Caenorhabditis elegans: one gene and its partners. The protein of the gene in region 1 purifies or fractionates together with the protein of each later gene. This does not show direct contact. Each region holds a gene or a part of one and is shown on either strand. Other genes may lie near its edges.

The links.
Region 2: the proteins of stl-1 (region 1) and R07E4.3 fractionate together in Caenorhabditis elegans (co-fractionation; one large-scale study listed by BioGRID). This does not show direct contact.
Region 3: the proteins of stl-1 (region 1) and mrps-2 fractionate together in Caenorhabditis elegans (co-fractionation; one large-scale study listed by BioGRID). This does not show direct contact.

What each region holds. Positions count from the first base shown.
Region 1 is NC_003279.8:9,485,140-9,491,084, forward strand, and holds stl-1 (Stomatin-like protein stl-1), read right to left. Parts: upstream 2,891-5,945; 5' UTR 2,888-2,890; coding exon 2,841-2,887; intron 2,792-2,840; coding exon 2,656-2,791; intron 2,614-2,655; coding exon 2,455-2,613; coding exon of another isoform or gene 2,451-2,454; intron 2,391-2,450; coding exon 2,083-2,390; intron 2,002-2,082; coding exon 1,677-2,001; 3' UTR 1,506-1,676; downstream 1-1,505. Other genes in the region: gly-21 (GLYcosylation related), read left to right, coding at 1-114, 551-696, 740-849, 1,051-1,181, 1,226-1,401; sacm-1L (Phosphatidylinositol-3-phosphatase SAC1), read left to right, coding at 3,358-3,514, 3,562-4,096, 4,336-5,006. UniProt on the Caenorhabditis elegans protein: Mitochondrial protein that probably regulates the biogenesis and the activity of mitochondria.
Region 2 is NC_003284.9:5,950,214-5,954,901, reverse strand, and holds R07E4.3 (Cytochrome b-c1 complex subunit 8), read right to left. Parts: upstream 1,445-4,688; coding exon 1,172-1,444; downstream 1-1,171. Other genes in the region: R07E4.5 (VWFA domain-containing protein), read left to right, coding at 1,732-1,893, 1,939-2,124, 2,538-2,889, 2,943-4,099, 4,574-4,688.
Region 3 is NC_003283.11:8,462,516-8,468,330, reverse strand, and holds mrps-2 (Small ribosomal subunit protein uS2m), read right to left. Parts: upstream 2,646-5,815; coding exon 2,574-2,645; intron 2,530-2,573; coding exon 2,341-2,529; intron 2,144-2,340; coding exon 1,943-2,143; intron 1,864-1,942; exon of another isoform or gene 1,775-1,863; intron 1,638-1,774; coding exon 1,305-1,637; 3' UTR 1,172-1,304; downstream 1-1,171. Other genes in the region: mrpl-4 (Large ribosomal subunit protein uL4m), read right to left, coding at 192-436, 488-1,066; natc-1 (Protein MAK10 homolog), read right to left, coding at 3,110-3,245, 3,291-3,413, 3,481-3,775, 3,866-4,084, 4,164-4,387, 4,438-5,630, 5,676-5,815.

The DNA of each region.
Region 1 (5,945 bases):
ATCTCAGTGAAATTCTAAATTACACCAGTATCATGGGTTTTGACTATGGATTTACAAGTAGATATCGAACATTTGAAGATTGGACTCCAGCTGGAATGAAACTTTTCAAAAATGGTTTTCCTTTTTTCATGTGGGCTTATAATTTTGATAGACTACATTTATTCATATAGAGAATAGTACAAAATAGAGATGAGAAAACATTTCCTAAAAGTACCAAAACTTCTTTGAGCCGACTGAATTATTTCTTAAAAATAAAAAAATAAATTTTAAAAAACCATTCCAAAGGCTGATGCCGCCTAGACTTTTATGCTTTTTTTCTTTTTGCACATTACTTAAATTTTAGGATTTATAGTGCAAAACGTCTTTAATTAAACCAGTCTCACAAAAAGTACAAAATATTTTCTAATCGAACAGCACGAACAGGTTTGCGTCTTTAAGGTCCTGTAGACTTGAGATGCTACAGTACTCCTTGCTTGGAGGCCTTTGAGACGAGGTGCCGCATTCTTATATCGAAAAATTACATGACAGAGTAACATAATTTTATTTTCAGAACAAAGTGTACCTCTGGAAATACTCCACAAAAAACTAAAAATTCGAAAAAGTTTAAACGAAGTAATCCTTTCGAAGGTATTTGTCAAGTCTTTATTTGATAAAGTGAATCTGCAAAATGTAATCAAAAGATTTGATGATAGAACGGTAATGTTCTACTCTTGAAAACGAGAATAATATTCAATTTCAGCTTTTTGGGGTTGACGAAATGATGGTTATGACACTTTTTGAAAACTATTTGGGATTAGATGGGCAAATGGAATCTAATTGTACCGTGGCAAAGGAAGATATATTAACACGGTTTGTATAGGATAGGCATGCCTTCATTTGTTTGTGCCTGCCTACCTCATGTCTGCATGTCACCTATTTTTTTGCTCTTTATTTGACTCTCTTGAAAATTCTAATGATAATAATTTCCAAGTGTACCAAGTGCAGAATCAGGCTCGTGTAGGTCACCTTGAAGGCAGGCTTACATTGCAAATAGAAAACTGAAAATTACAGTCAAACTCATTGGCATCTTGAACAATCCGACGGACTATATCAAGATTGTAAATCCAAGTGGTTAAGGCATTCAATATGTGTAATTGGAGTCGAATTTCTACAAGAACTTTCAAAAAGTCCGATGGTTATTGGTGATTTTTGAACATTCATGTTTATAAATAAATTGATTTTTCAGCAAACAAAGTGACCGCCAACTTCGATTTTGGAACGATAATTTGCGTTCGTGAAATGATAAAAACCAATAAAACAGGAAATAATCCAGATTCTCAATGGCTTTCCTACTTTCCACAGTTTCGTGAGATGTTGTTGAAAGCTAATGGAACTTATTACAAGAATAGTTTTCAATGTTGATCAAGTTTTTTAAAGAAAATTTTGTTTATTATTTTCAAATTTTTCACTAAACAGTTTTCCTCTGAAAATCATGTTATCTGCATTTTAAATTGAATTCAAATGAAAATTCAACTAATTCATCTGCTGAAAATTTAGAATAACGAACAATCAAGAGATTTTTGAAAAGATGATGTAAAATTACATTCAAATACCAGTAAACCAAAATTTAGAAACAGGGAAATATGAAAATGGAGAAACGGAAACTACGCTTGCACATAAACTCAAACAAAACATTTTCACTTTTTCTTATTGCTCAATGAGTCGTAAACAGCAAGTGCTTGAGAAACCATACTTCCTGGATCACTGAGATTTGCCGGAAGAACAACAGTATTTGATTCCTTGGCAAGATTTCCAAAAGCTCCAACATATTGCTCTGCAACGGTCAATCCAGCAGCATTTGCACCTCCATCTTTCTCAAGAGCCAATGCAATACGTTCAATAGCTTTGGCACGAGATTCGGCTTTAAGGATTACTGCTTCTGCTTCTCCCTTTGCTACATTGATACGTTCGGCTTGAACAGCCTCAGACGCCAAAATAGCTGATTTCTTGTCTCCTTCGGCCCTGGAAATGTTTAAATTTAGAATATTTTTACAACTCTCACGATGTTACTGAATGAAATGTGTAATTGGAAAAATATTATACCTATTAATGGCAGCTTCTCTGATTCCTTCTGATTCCAAAATCGCGGCTCTTTTCTTTCTCTCAGCTTCAACTTGCATTTGCATAGCTTCTTGAATTTTTGATGGCATCTGCATATCTCTGATTTCGTATCGCATACATTGAATTCCCCAAGGTGCTGATGCTTTGTTGATTGCAAATACAATATTTTCATTGAGCAATTCCCTCTCCTTGAATACTGTATCCAAATTGATTTTTCCAACTTCACTTCTCATCGTTGTCTGCGCTAATTGAGTTACTGCGAATTCTGGGTCATCGACTCCGTACGATGCCTGCAATTTACAAAGAAGTGTTATTTTTCAATTACAGGCGAATCAAAAAACAGGCGTCACATGCCTTGTAGGGATCGAAAACACGCAAATAAAGAACTCCGTCGAGCCTGAGTTGTACATTGTCAATTGTAATGGCTCCTTGCTCAGGAATCTCAATTGCAATTTCACGAAGATTTTGAACGAATTTGATTTTATCAATGATAGGCAATAAGAAGTTGAGTCCCTGAAAAAGTTGGTTTATTAATTACCTTTTAGGAAATGTTACCGGTTCAAGAATCTTGTAGAACTTTCCCATTCTTTCTACAACCCACGCTTCTTGCTGTGGAACAAAATTGATGACAGTATTATGTGCAGCATGGGCCTGTCGTGATGATGTCACAGCTAATGGGAGCGTTGAACTTCTAAATAATATAATTGCCCCCCTCACAATAATTTAATTTATCGGCCTACCTTAGAAGAGCTGACGAATTCATTAAAAGTCGATTAGTTAGCGCCATTTTCTGTAAAATCATTTTTAATGATGCAATGCAATTTCGAAAGATTCAGCAGTTTAAATAATGTATTAGTGGGAGGAGGATGGCAGAAAAGTATTTCGTCATGGTGGTGGCCGAGTGGGAGAGATAGATTAAAAATATGCACATTTACATCAGGACTGAGAGATTTTAATATAAACACCACTATTCTTCAATTTTTAAGAAACGAAACGTTCACAAAGTATAAAAATATAAAGAATAAAAATACAATTAATTTAAAATAATGTCTGTGTAGATTTACGGTAAACAACGCTCCCATATGAAAGACGGAGTGTCGTCACCCGTTTCCACGTTTTCGCATTCAAAGAAAACATGTTTCATGTATTCTATCACTATTGTTGTATCTCTTATTGATTTTTTTGTTTTCATGCGTCGTTCTTCTTTTTCATATTTTTTTTCCACAACAAACTTCATTCCCTTTTCAGCTCTCCAAAATGGTGGATAGTCTATTGAGTATGGACATCTACGAGAGTTTCAACTTGTACTCACACCCAGAAAAATTCTTCTTAGAACCAACCGATCTCGGCGGTGGTGCTGCGTCGAAACATTATCTCGAAATCGATAGACACACAAATGTGATGAAAATTATTGGTAAGTCTGACTTTTGGTCTGATCTAAATATAAATTTATAATTACAGATTCACGCAAGCAGCGAGTTCCAATTGCTGATACGGACATCAAGTTTATTTATGGGATTTTGGGAACAATTAAACTAGTCTCAGGATATGCTTTGATCGTAATAACAAAGGCTTCTTTGATCGGACAAGTTAATAATCACAACATCTGGACTATTCAAGATGCCGAGATTATTCCTTACAAGAAAACAACACTTCACTTGACTGAGAAACAAATTAGATATAATAGATTATTCACTGATATGCTCACTCATGTGCTGTCTATTGGCGGATTCTACTACTCGACGACTCTTGACATCTCACGCACATTTCAATGGCTTCAGGAGAACGCTGTTCCTTTGTTCAAAACAAGAAGTATGTTGGACAGAGCCAGCGAACGTTTCATATGGAATGGACATCTACTGTCACAGATCCGGCAGGTCCCTGGTGCAGAAAGATACACATTGCCCGTTATTCATGGTTTTATTGGCCAGAATCGTGTGAATGTGAATGGAAAAGAGATTAAATTGACTATCATATCCAGAAGAAGCATTTATCGGTAATTTTTTTTACTTAAAAATGTTTTAAATAAATTTGTAATAATTAAAAAAACGTTTATTTCGATTTTCTGGACAAAAAATTAATACTTCTAACAACGAGCTCGCTTTTCACAAAAATGTTTTGTCTGAATCCAAGATATATTAGTTTTAAATAATTATTAACCTTTTTAGTACGAATTTCATGTTTTTTCATAGTTTTCTCTGAAAAAAAAACTATTAGTATAATTCAATTTTTCAGTGCTGGCGTCCGTTTCTATAAACGTGGAGTCGACGTAGATGGTCATGCAGCAAACTTTGTTGAAACAGAACAAATCGTTGAATACACGAATCCTGACAAGCACCTGACTTCGTTTGTGCAATTGAGAGGTTCTATTCCTCTTCTCTGGACTCAAAAACCAAATCTACGTTGGCAACCGATGCCTACACTGAAACCAACAGATGACCAGCTTGCTGCTTTCAATCGAGCTTTTTCGTGGCACAAGCAACACTATGGTGGTAAACATGTGATTGTAAATCTTGTAAATCAAAAAGGAAGAGAGAAAAAAGTTGGAGGAGAACTGGAGAGAATATCACGACAAGCAAATATCGAATTTGTTCGTTACCATCAATTTGATTTTCACAAAGAATGTCATTCTATGCAATGGCACCGAATTGATTTGTTGCGGGAGCAGTTAAGCCAAGAAATTTCGAGTTTTGGATATTTTTACTTGTCCCCGAATAGTATGGAAACAAGTCGATTCCAACGTGGATTTTTCCGTACGAATTGCATGGATTGTCTAGATCGTACCAATGTGGTTCAGTCGATGTTGGCACGTGAATCACTCACCGAACAACTTCGAATGCTTGGAATTTTATATTCAGAGCAGAAAGTTCAAGATATTCCACTTCTTGAAGATGCATTCAAACAAAGTGAGTTTAATCAAAGTTATTTTTTTGAAAAACGAAAATCGTTTGAAATCGAAGGTTGATTTTTTAGAAGATCAATAACTGACAATGAAAAAAATATGTAAAGTTTACAACTTTATTCCAAAAAAACTCAATATTTTGATCTGAATTCGCAGATTCATGAGTGTGTCAGTATATCAATCATTTTCGCTCACTTATTTTTCAAAAAAAAATGGGCAAATACTGTTTTACTACTTGATTTTTTACTACGTATCTCTTTTACTACAAGATCTCTTTTACTACGGAATCTCTTTTACTACGAATTCCGCATTTAGATCTTTCACTACAATTGGCTCTTTCACTACGTGTTCTCTTTTACTACGATTTGATCACATAGATCTTTTACTACGGAAAACACTTTTTTACTACCTTATCTTTTACTACGTGGATGTTTTACTACGTTTTACTCTTTTGCTACGGACATATTTTTACTACGTGGAGGGGTACTGTTAGGTTACTGTAGTGGTATTGTGTAAATAACAGTTTTCAGATTATATACTATAGTTTTTTTTAATTGCTAGAAATATATTCACTAGGAAAAATTTTTTACTAAATACAATGGCAGGGATTATATTTTTAACTATGTTGCGTAATTTTTACTACGAATTAATAATCAATATTTATAGTATAAGCTAGATATAAACAAATGCATGAATATTTTCTAAAAATATATAGGTCACAATTGAAGTTTGTGCTCAAGTAGTTCTAGTAAATTTCAGTTTTTTTGGATACTGAGATTGAGTTAGTGGAGGGATCCTGTTGAGTTACTGTAGTGATACTGTTGTTGGAGTACTTAACTTTTTTCGCGTAACCAAAAAATTAGTTCCATACCGGTTGATGTATAAGTTTTAAAAATGTAATAAACAACTTGCGGTTCGGTCAGTTATCTGTCAGATGTTTGAA
Region 2 (4,688 bases), on another chromosome or scaffold:
CAGAAACTGTAAATAAATCGAAAAACCTTACAGAAGAAAGCTCGAGAATATTACGGAATTATGAATCAATTATCTGCTTTCAAAGGTTTTCACGCTTTCCGTTTAATTTGTTTTGTTCGAATCAGAAGATAACAAATCAAATATTTGGCAAAGCTGCTGTCAAAAGTATCCATAAAACAAAGACTAACAGTATTTTTTGAGCGGTATAAAAGGTTGAAAGATCAAATCGAGTTAAATTTAGATAAATGAAAGAAAAATTGACCAGCCAGCGATAATATTTTGTAACTAATTTTTCAGCTGTCTGGAAGTAGACTTTTTTTTGAATAGAAACAACAAAACAAGCAAAACGGTTGCTAGACGCAAATACATGCTCTACATATCTCTTTAGTTACCAATGTAAAAAAGTATAAATCTTCTGACAGCATAGATCAGCTTCAAAACCTGTGGTTTGCCACTTGTGGTTTGAAATCTTTTTAGGATGACAGTTTTGTTTAGAAAATATTAACTTTGACTTTTTCTAATTGCTTTTTTCTGGAGAATATTTTTTAATTTTTCCCCACGTTCCTGAAATGACTAAAAACAATAGCAAAAAATTTTTTAAGTTTGCGATTGTTTTATGTGCAGTCACGAAGTAGTGAAAATTCAGTTTGCTCTTTTATATAATTGTTTTTGAAGTCGTCCTACGGTTTACTAATTTTGTTTCGGAAAATTTGGCAACTTGCCACAATTTTGACTGAAGTTTTTGAAAAATCTAAAATGTATTCAAGTGTTTAATTATTCTACTACAAACGTTTTTGAAAGAATTATTAGAGGTTCTTGCCGATTATACTGTTTTAATGCGTACACATACTAATAATAGTCTATCTTGCATGTTTGCAATGTTTGATTTGACTATATCAAACATTAGAATACCGCATTTGATCCTTTAGTCTGGTATTTCCTTGCTTAACTTTGGCAGTTCTCCCGCCTGATTTTTTACGTATGAAAACATTATCAGCTGACAAAATAATTAGCTTTTTTTCTTGTACTGCAGTTTTAAAGTAAATCATATTTTGATATGCTTGTGTACAAAAACACATTGTGATTCTAGTAATACATTTTATTTGAGAAAAAATTCCAACGTTGATTTCAATTAATACATTGAAATAACTAATCCAACTTCTTCCACAAGTTATTCGTCGTTGGCAAAATCAGCTGGATTTTTGCGGTTTGCAGCAACATTTGTCTTCTTGGCCCAATCGTAGAGAAGATATGCACCAATAGTTTGTGGAATGTAGTAGTACCATTGATCCCAAACGTAGGTTTTGAAGGTTCTCACAAATGCCTGATCGAAGAATCCTTTATAAGCTTTTTGTTCGTTTGGAGCCAATGCAAATCTATGCTCTCCATACATTTTTCCCAAATTTCCAAAATGTTTTCCCATTGCAACGGCTGAAGGCCTCATTTTTATCTGAAATAATAAACAAATTAAGAAGTTAAAGTAAATTTCAATGGAAAAAGTATACAGCAGTTGCGACGAGCGCCTCAGTTGGTTGGTGTGCAAGGACGCTCCATTGAGAACACGCTGCGAGACCCGGCCGTATAAATGTGTGCACCTTGGAGGGTGCCTCTGTCGTTATACGTTAAGTTTCCTCATTTATTATCCAATTTTTAGATTTTTTTGCAAAGTGTGGTTTTTATTTCTTTACTTTTTAAATGCTATTTTAGAAATTGAATATTGTTCTTTCAGGAATGCCGTTTCCCAACCAAATTCACTTTTTAGTCGACGCGAGTATAAAAATGCATGCAATTATCGATTGTGATGCGACACCAATGGAGAATGCGTACATTTTTCTGCGTGAAATTTGCAAAAAAGGAGATCATCAGCCGACCTATATCGATAGAGTTCATATTGTGAGTTTTTGAAGCAATAGTTTATAAAGTTTACACTTTTTTCAGCACATTGGTGATAATTACATTGAACTGGAAGAAGGAAAAGCACTGAAGATGTTTGAGGATTCGAAAAGTATGATTTTTGAGCCATCAGATCAGAATGATTTTCTTTCGCTTTGGAAAACTGCGTTGGACGCCGATGAGGATGAAAATGCGTTATTTTTCATTGTATCCACTATTGTTAATGAAAAAGTAAGTTGTCACCACATTAAAGGTGGAGTAACGCCAGAGAGGAAATTGTGAAAAATCACTCTTTTGGTGTTGAAATAACTAAATATCATTTAAAAAAAATTTCGGCAGTGTTCGGAAAACTTCAAAAAAGCGATGAAAAGTAAGCTTTCACCAGTCTGTTTTGGAAGTTATCGATGAAAAATAATAATTTCCTTTTTTATGTTATTCATGTTGAAAATATTTATATTCCAACATTGTAGGGATTTGTGTTTCATTTCTCGAAGAGTGGCACAAGCTCGGTTGTCACCGCTTTTTGGCCAAAAATATTAATTTCCAAAATGTTTTGAAAAGTTTCAAAATTATATTCAGTCATTGTAACACCATAAAACTTTACCTTTAAATAAGAAATAAAAAAAAAACAATCATAAATTCAGATTCTCAAAATGTTCCACAAATACCACAAAAAGATGACGTTTCTCGATTTTTCTGGAATCAAACTAAATATTTCTGAACGACTCAAAAGCGATGTTCATCTGGTTGAACACGGAACTTCAAAAAAACTAGCTGCGACAATTCACAAGAAGATTACCGAGAACTACGTCACAACGGTCAATTTCGGGACTTCTTTTGGAGTAGAACTTGCACCTTGTACTGTGAGAAAAAATGTGCCCTACGAACTTACCAAAATTGACATTGTTGGCACATCAACATATCAGCCACTGGAAACGATTTCAGTTTTGACGAGAAGTTTCCTTCTTCCAATTGACAAGTGCTATGACAAAAAAGGTAACTACTGTAATATGCAAATGTTTTAATTATTTAACCTGTCCTATTTCCAGGTTCGAAAGTGAATAATGCAGTCGCATATTGTGTTTTGAAAGAGATCATTGGTGATAAGCCTGTAGCACTCCTGGAAAAAGAAGATGAAAACGATCGGAGTTCTGATACAAGCCTTGAAAAATCCAATGAAGATATCAAAAAGGAAATTGACGACATGAAGTCTGAAACAACTGCGCCAGTTGTTCCAGTGAAACCTCGAGCACCGAAAAAAAAATTTCCAAACCTTGTTCCCAACAATGAAAACGGCTACGAAGGAGACGGAGAGTCTGGTCCAATTACAGCCGAAAATGTCAAAAATGAAAAAACAAATTTGACTAAAGGAGGGAGAAAGCGAAGATTGCAAACCCTCGAACCTTCAAATGCAAAGAAAGGAAAAGACGCCAAAAATGGCGATCTACTTTCTGAAGTGAAAAACGACAAAGAAGCCGAAACCAAAGAGAATGAAGACGGAAAAGCCTCAGCAGATGGGACACCAGATCCATTGTTCCTAGTTGCATGTGCAACGGAGCGCTACACTGGGTTACGCAGACCAGTTATTCTTCGACTCCGCGAATTTGACAAAGATGACAAGACTTATTATGATGAAGAAACGCTTAAAGCAAAACTTGAAGAACATGCTGTTAAAAAACTGGAAGAAGAGAAGGACAAACTTCAATCCGCTGCCGCACCTGAAGATGACTCTCCAGCAAGTCCTCCGATGGATTGTCCAGCGTCTCCAGATATGGTTCCCGTTATCCCGCAAACTGTGAAAATCATTCCGACAGTTCCAACAATTCCACTCGAAACACAAGACGTCGATATGCGTGAACCATCAGCTCCCAAGGATGTTGATTACAGATCACAAGATGTTGATTTGCGTGTAGCAGTTCCTGTTGGTGATGTCGATCTTCGTGCTCAAGACAAGGTACAAGATTCTTTACCTGTGGAGGTAAAGAAAGAAAGCTGTATTGTCGACGATGCGGTTGTGCCGGAAGAACCACCAATGGAAGATTTGACAACGAATCAAGATCAGCCGGTTAAGTTAATTCCTTTGGAAGGTCAGACAGAGCTGAAAGCAGCAGAAATCAAGCAAGAAATGAGTGAAGAAACAGCCGCAGATGATAATCAGTCACAGGAGAATGTTTTTGATTATGGGAAATATATTCAGATCATTGTGGTAAGATTTTGAATACGATTTGGGACAGAAATTAAAGTTCGAGTAGCACCAATGGAAAAATTGTTAAAGCCAACTTCTATTGTGCTAAAGTGACCAAATATCATAATTAAAATTTTCAACACAATCTTTAAAATCTTTTATTAACACTCGAAAATGGCAATTACTGAGTTTTTTTTGTAACTTTTGGAAAATTATAGCACGGTAGCATGTTTAAGTCCTATGATGTGGGAATATTTGAAACATAAGTGGGCTATAAAGTTCAAAGGGAATTTTTTTGATCGACGGCTTCCGATAACGTAGCAAGCACTGAGTAATTGCCCCTTTTCAAAACAACAAAATTTCAAAAAAATTTTGAAAAAAAGTTTACTATGAGATTTGGTAATTTTAGCACCATAGGAGTGGTTTTTAACAATTTGTCCATTGGTGCAACTCGGCCATAAACTTAAACATTGAGCTTAAAAGTATAAATTTTAGCTCGATATGACTTGGGAAAAGTTTGAAAAGCAGATAGCTATAGTCAACGACGATGATATCTTTGAAGAGCTGACGGAGCGTGAAAAGACAGTTGTCGGCCCAGAGCCAAATCATG
Region 3 (5,815 bases), on another chromosome or scaffold:
GATTTTTTGGTTTTGAAACCAAAAAACCGAAACATTTTTCAATTATCAGCGTTTTTTGAAAAGTAATTCAATTTTTTTTGGTTTTTCGCAAATTTAAATTGTTTTGTTTTTTGATCCAAAATTATTTTTTTGGTCCCAGCCCTGTGCTACACAAGTGACGTTTTTTAATTGTTAATTTTCCAAATATTAACCTGTATTTCTTATTCATCGGCCCAGCTCTATGCATTTGTGTGAGAAGTCGTTCTTCAACTCTTTCCAATGCACTTCGTGACAGAACAATAGTATCGTATTTCATTAATGAGAAGCAATTCAGACCATACACTGGCATCACATTGAGCCACGGAAGAGCTTGTTGAGCTTCAGCAAGTCCACCGCTAATCTCATCACAATCATCAACGAAAAGAACAGAGTATCCGTAGTTTCGAGCTTCGCAAAGCTGGAATTTTTGAAATTAAAACAGAAAATGATTTTTCTATAGATAACTTACATCAATCCAATATTTAGGGTCTCCATTCTGTAAGTTTTGAATTTTGTCAACAATATGCAAATCGTCTTGTGTGTGCTTTAGAGTGAGAGCAACACAAAGTCCCTGAATTCTGACTGCGTCTGGAAGCATGTAGAACCACGTTCTCGGTCCACGAACACCATTTGCGAAACCTCCTCGAATAAATTGTGGGGAACGAATAGAACCAACGTGAGCCCGTCCAGTCTTCTTTTGAGGCCACGGCTTTCTACCCCCTCCGGGCATTTCAGCTTTTGTCAACATTTTCGTCATTTGCACATTTCGATATACACTTTGCCACGTGAGGTTACGGTGTAGAATATCGATACGCGGTGATGTTCTGAAAATGTCTGGATGGAGATCCACGAGTCCGAGCTTCTCATCTTCGATGGTATCCAAATTTGAAACCCAAGCTTGTGGAGTTTTGATGAATGGATTTTCTGGTTTTCGCCATAATTCTCTTCGTGTATCGATGGATTCGCCAGATGAAGTCGAGGAAACATCCTGAACAGCCGATGAGAATGCTCGACTTGAAATTAAAAAACGCAGCTGCCTGGAGAGCATCTGAAAAGGGATAAGGTGTATAAATAATTTTAAAAAACCAAAAAAAAAGAAAGATATGTTCTAACACTGTTCGTTTACAGTAGTGATTCAAAATTACGATTTGAAAGCAATATTTTGATTTTTTAAATAGGTAAACAACTGGATATTTAGAAAATGAAGAAACAATCAGAAAACAAGGAAAACAAAAGATCTAATCAAAAATTTTGAAATCTTGAAACTAAATACTAAAAATTAAAATTTATTTTCCTTGCTGCTGACGTTTTCGTTCTTCTTGTCCTTTTCGAACGGCTTCCTTGAACATTCTGAGCAAATATTCAGTGGATTGTGGTGTATCATCGTTTGCAGGAACCAAATATGTCAAGTAAGCCGGATCCGAATTCGAGTCAACTACTCCAATTGTGGGAATCGCCATTTTTGCGGCTTCAACGATGGCTGGATGGTTTTCGCCGAGTGATGTGAGGGTTGACAGGAAGCAGACAGCATCTGGAAGTCGAACTGAAGCTCCGAGAAGTTGTCGAGTGTTCGTTAGAGTTCCTGATTGCCACTTTCGAACGTGAGAGTATTGCCCAACCTGGAAAATAACACCTTTTCAAATTTTTTTTTGTAAAATTTTTTTGCTTGATTTTTAAAGATTACTGTTTAAAAGACATACATTTTTACAGTAACATTCACAACTAGAAAACAATGGTGAATATTTTCTGAATAAAAAAAAACAGCTCAGGATCGCAAATTCCGCAGAAACAAATAATCTCGCAAGATTATTAATTATCGGATCAAAGTATGTTCACATCACTGCTGTTATGAAAACTCGAACCATGAATCATTTTCCAATAGATTGGTGTTCTCACCCCTACACCACCATGCACACTGTCTCACCTCATCTGCTGCCTTCTCAACATCAAACATGGTGTCTCGATTGGAAGTGACAAAAAGAATCATTCCACCGCGCAATGACACATGAGCAACGAAATTTAGAGCTCTGACGAGATATTTTTTGGTAATATCGAGGTCGAAGAGGCAAACTCCAAGACGTTCACCGTACAGGGCCCACTTCATATTGTTGTTTACTGTTCCGACCTAAAAAAAATTATATTAGTTGTTAATTCAACTTCTCAAGCTTAAAATAAATTTTAAAAAATGCGAAAAAATCCCGAAGTTTTTTTCGTAATTTTCCAGTGCAATTTTCGAAGAAAAGAAAATTGGGAAATCGACTTTTAAACGTATTTCATTCATTTTTTTTAACAGTTAGAACCGCCTTTCTTTAAATAGACTACCTTATGTCCGTAGTGAAGTCTTGCTTTAAACATCTCATCGATATGGACCATTTTTTCAAAATTAAATAAATCTTCATGTTGAAGTGACGCGGAAACGAATGGCTTCAACACTGTTGGCTGGACTGTTCCTTTTTCAAGAGTTGCACGATCCGGAACAGACGACGATGATGAAGTAGATGCAACTGGTTTCTGGAAACAAAGAATTCTAAATTATATTTTTGGTAAATGGTTACCTGCTGCGACGCGGAAAATCGTGTCGAGAAGGCTCTTTCTGTACGGATTGCAGCTGCTACAACTCGTCTCATCTGGAAATTCGTGTTGAAAGAAAACATGGTAAGTAACTAGTAAGTTAGAAAATAAGTAATAATCAATTTGGATACAGAAACCAAAGAATCGATAATTCAAAGATATTTTGCAAACTGAAAACAAACAAGTTCATAGAAGCATAAAATTTGATTTGAAATGTATTTCGATATCTCTGAGAACAATGTGAATGTACTGTACCAACCGAGAAAATTCGTGTGCTATGAAAGGAAAGAAGACGGGGAGGCGGGGTTCACTAGTCTGAATTACTCAATCAATAAAATATGAAAACAAAAATCGAAATATGAATAATTATTTAGCTGATTATATAAAATACATGAAAGAAAAACACGGGGGACTTATGGCATTCTATTGAGATGATTCTTGAATATTTCTGAATCTACTGATGGATTGTGACTGTTGGAGAGATCGCAGCAATAATTGGCAAACAAGAGTAGAGTTGTCATCACTTTTTGCTAATTTTTAGACATGGAAACATTGGAATCTCTTCTGAAAACGACCAAACGACATTTCTGTCCGTCAAATCAAGTTTCAGAACTCTGCAAGCAATAATGTTCGATTTCGCCACGTGGATCAATTGCCTGGAAATAAGAAGATTTTTAAACGACCAAACAGCATCAACCAACATCATTTCGCGATTTTGCTCCACAGAGTTATCGATTTTTTCGAGATGTTCACGTGCTTCATTGAAACTTTTCTGAGCTTGATCGATCAGTGTCTCAATCTTGTCTTCATACATTTGGTCAATTCTGAAATGCGAATAATTATTTGTATACCCATAAAATGACATTTTTTAAAAACGCAGTAAACGCTTACCCCGAATCACTTTTAAAACGTTCGTAATCCACACGAACTGGAGGCCCAAGTGAGTCGAATGGTTCGAATCGTCTTTCGAATCTTAGTTTTTCAGCATCATCTCCACCCTTCGGCATCTTGATGATTCCTTTACGAATCAGAACAACTGTCAGTCTCACAACTCCATCAGAAATCATTGAAATTGCGATTTGATTGAGAACACTGAATTGATGAGCAGCGACACGACGTTTCAACTCTTCTCCAAGTTTACATCTCTCTTCCCACAGTTTTTTGTTTTTAGTCTCTCTCAGTGGATCTGGAAAGTGCATAACAGAAAACGGCTTCATGTCTTTGTTCAATAAATTTTTTGAACCCTAACTGTAACAATTTGATGGTTTTCACTAACTTGCTTGATAAACGTTCAGCTGAATTTCTTGACTCCGTTCCAAAGTTGTTCTCATCCAATGTGCTTGAACTGAACCAATAAACCAGTAAATGTATGGGAACTCGTAAGGAACGTAAAGGTCCATTCGAAATCCAAGTTCGAAATAATGGTTAATGATTGCAAGAAGATTGTGAAACACAAATGTAGCCACTGAGTGATATGAGTAGTTCTGCTCTTTTGCTGCAATGATTTATTTGTGGAATTACTGGGAATTTAGAATAATTTTTAACATAATTTTTTTAATTTTAAATTATCTTACCAGTAACCATTTTTCCGCTAAGCAATACTTCATCAGTTCGCTCTTCCAGTCGTCCAGCATATGAATGGATTTGACCAAGATCTTCAATGGCCATCTCAAGACGATCTCTTTGACGGGATAAATTGCATCCAAAACTACCATAGACGGTGATTGCGAGTTTTGACATGTGATTCAAAAATAACACATATAGACTTTGAGCAGTTTGATCTTTGTAAACAGGAGATCTGAAATAATGAGATAAGTTCGTGATGTATTCTTGTTGAGAAGTACTCACACTCTATCAAGAATTTGTGGGCAGAAGCAGTTGCTCAGTGAGTATTCAACGGCGTCAGCAATTGATCGATTCTCATCACCACACAGATGGTTGTCGACTGGGAACATGCAAATTTGAAGAAGAGATCTGGTGAAGACGCATGCATTCTGACCGAAAGTTCTCGCAAAGTAGAACAAATAGTTCAAATCTTTTGAAGTTTTTGGAGTGACAATGCATAGGTGATATATTCTTTCAGCACACTTCACCCACCAATCAGCAGCTTCTTGTCTTGATGGAACCTTGATTTTTCGAGGGAAGCATGCCGGGATCATTCGTATACAAGTTTTTGGTTCATATGCGCCAAGCCATAGGTAGTCACCATCACCATCAATATTGTCGGGTGCTCTTCTTCCTAATTTAACTGTTTCCGCATAAGCCTTTGTGACCTTGCACAGTCTTTCAGCCAAAATCGAGGCGAATCCAAAATTGGGCTTGAATTGTTTCATATCATCTTCATCTTCGTCGTCGCCTACATTTTCATCATCATTTTGATCAGTTTCATCTGTTGCTTCATCATTACTTTTCTGTTCTTTCTTCTCTGTGGTTTCCGATTTTGCTTCACTTGAAGGCGTTGGATCAGACGTGGATTCTTCTGATTTTTCGTCAGAATTCTCTTCGGCTCCTTCATATTCTTTTTCGTGAACATAGAAATCCCCCAGATGAACTTTGTGATCGAAGTTAGGATCTTCAATTTCTGGTGCAACCAATAAGCCAATAATTTCCAAAAGCATAATAAACATTTCAAGACGGGATGCAACAGCACAGCAAATATCGTACGCCTGTTTACTGAATGCTGACTCTCTCCACTTTCTTCCAGTAGTACCGAGCAATGTAACCTGTTCTCGCATAAGCTGAACGACGACTCTGCGAGGAGCCCATCTCTGATGACTGAAGAGCATTTGTGGATTGAAATCTTCGGGTAACTCTTCTAGGTTACCAACACTGTTGATAAGTGCATGAGCATTTCGAATGAAAAGATTGACGCCGGATGCGAATGGGTGGAAAACGGGATGTTTAACAAAAGTCACATTTGAAAGCAGCACGTTTGTCCAGACTGTCGATCCAAGTGCACTTCCTTCGAGCCAAGCGACAACCATCGCTAACGTACTATCCATAATTGCAAGTTGAAAAGGATAATCGTCGGCGTAGAGTCCCTGAAATTATTGACTTAGTTTCGATAATGAAATTTGACAAAATACCCCACTAATCGCTTCTTTCAATGTTTTAATGTGTTTTGATCCTACTCCAACGTCCATTTTCGGTTCTCCCAGTTCAATTGCTGACATGACATCTGAGAGCCGAAAATGCTCTGTGGTTACCAGTTCGCCCAATCGCAAGC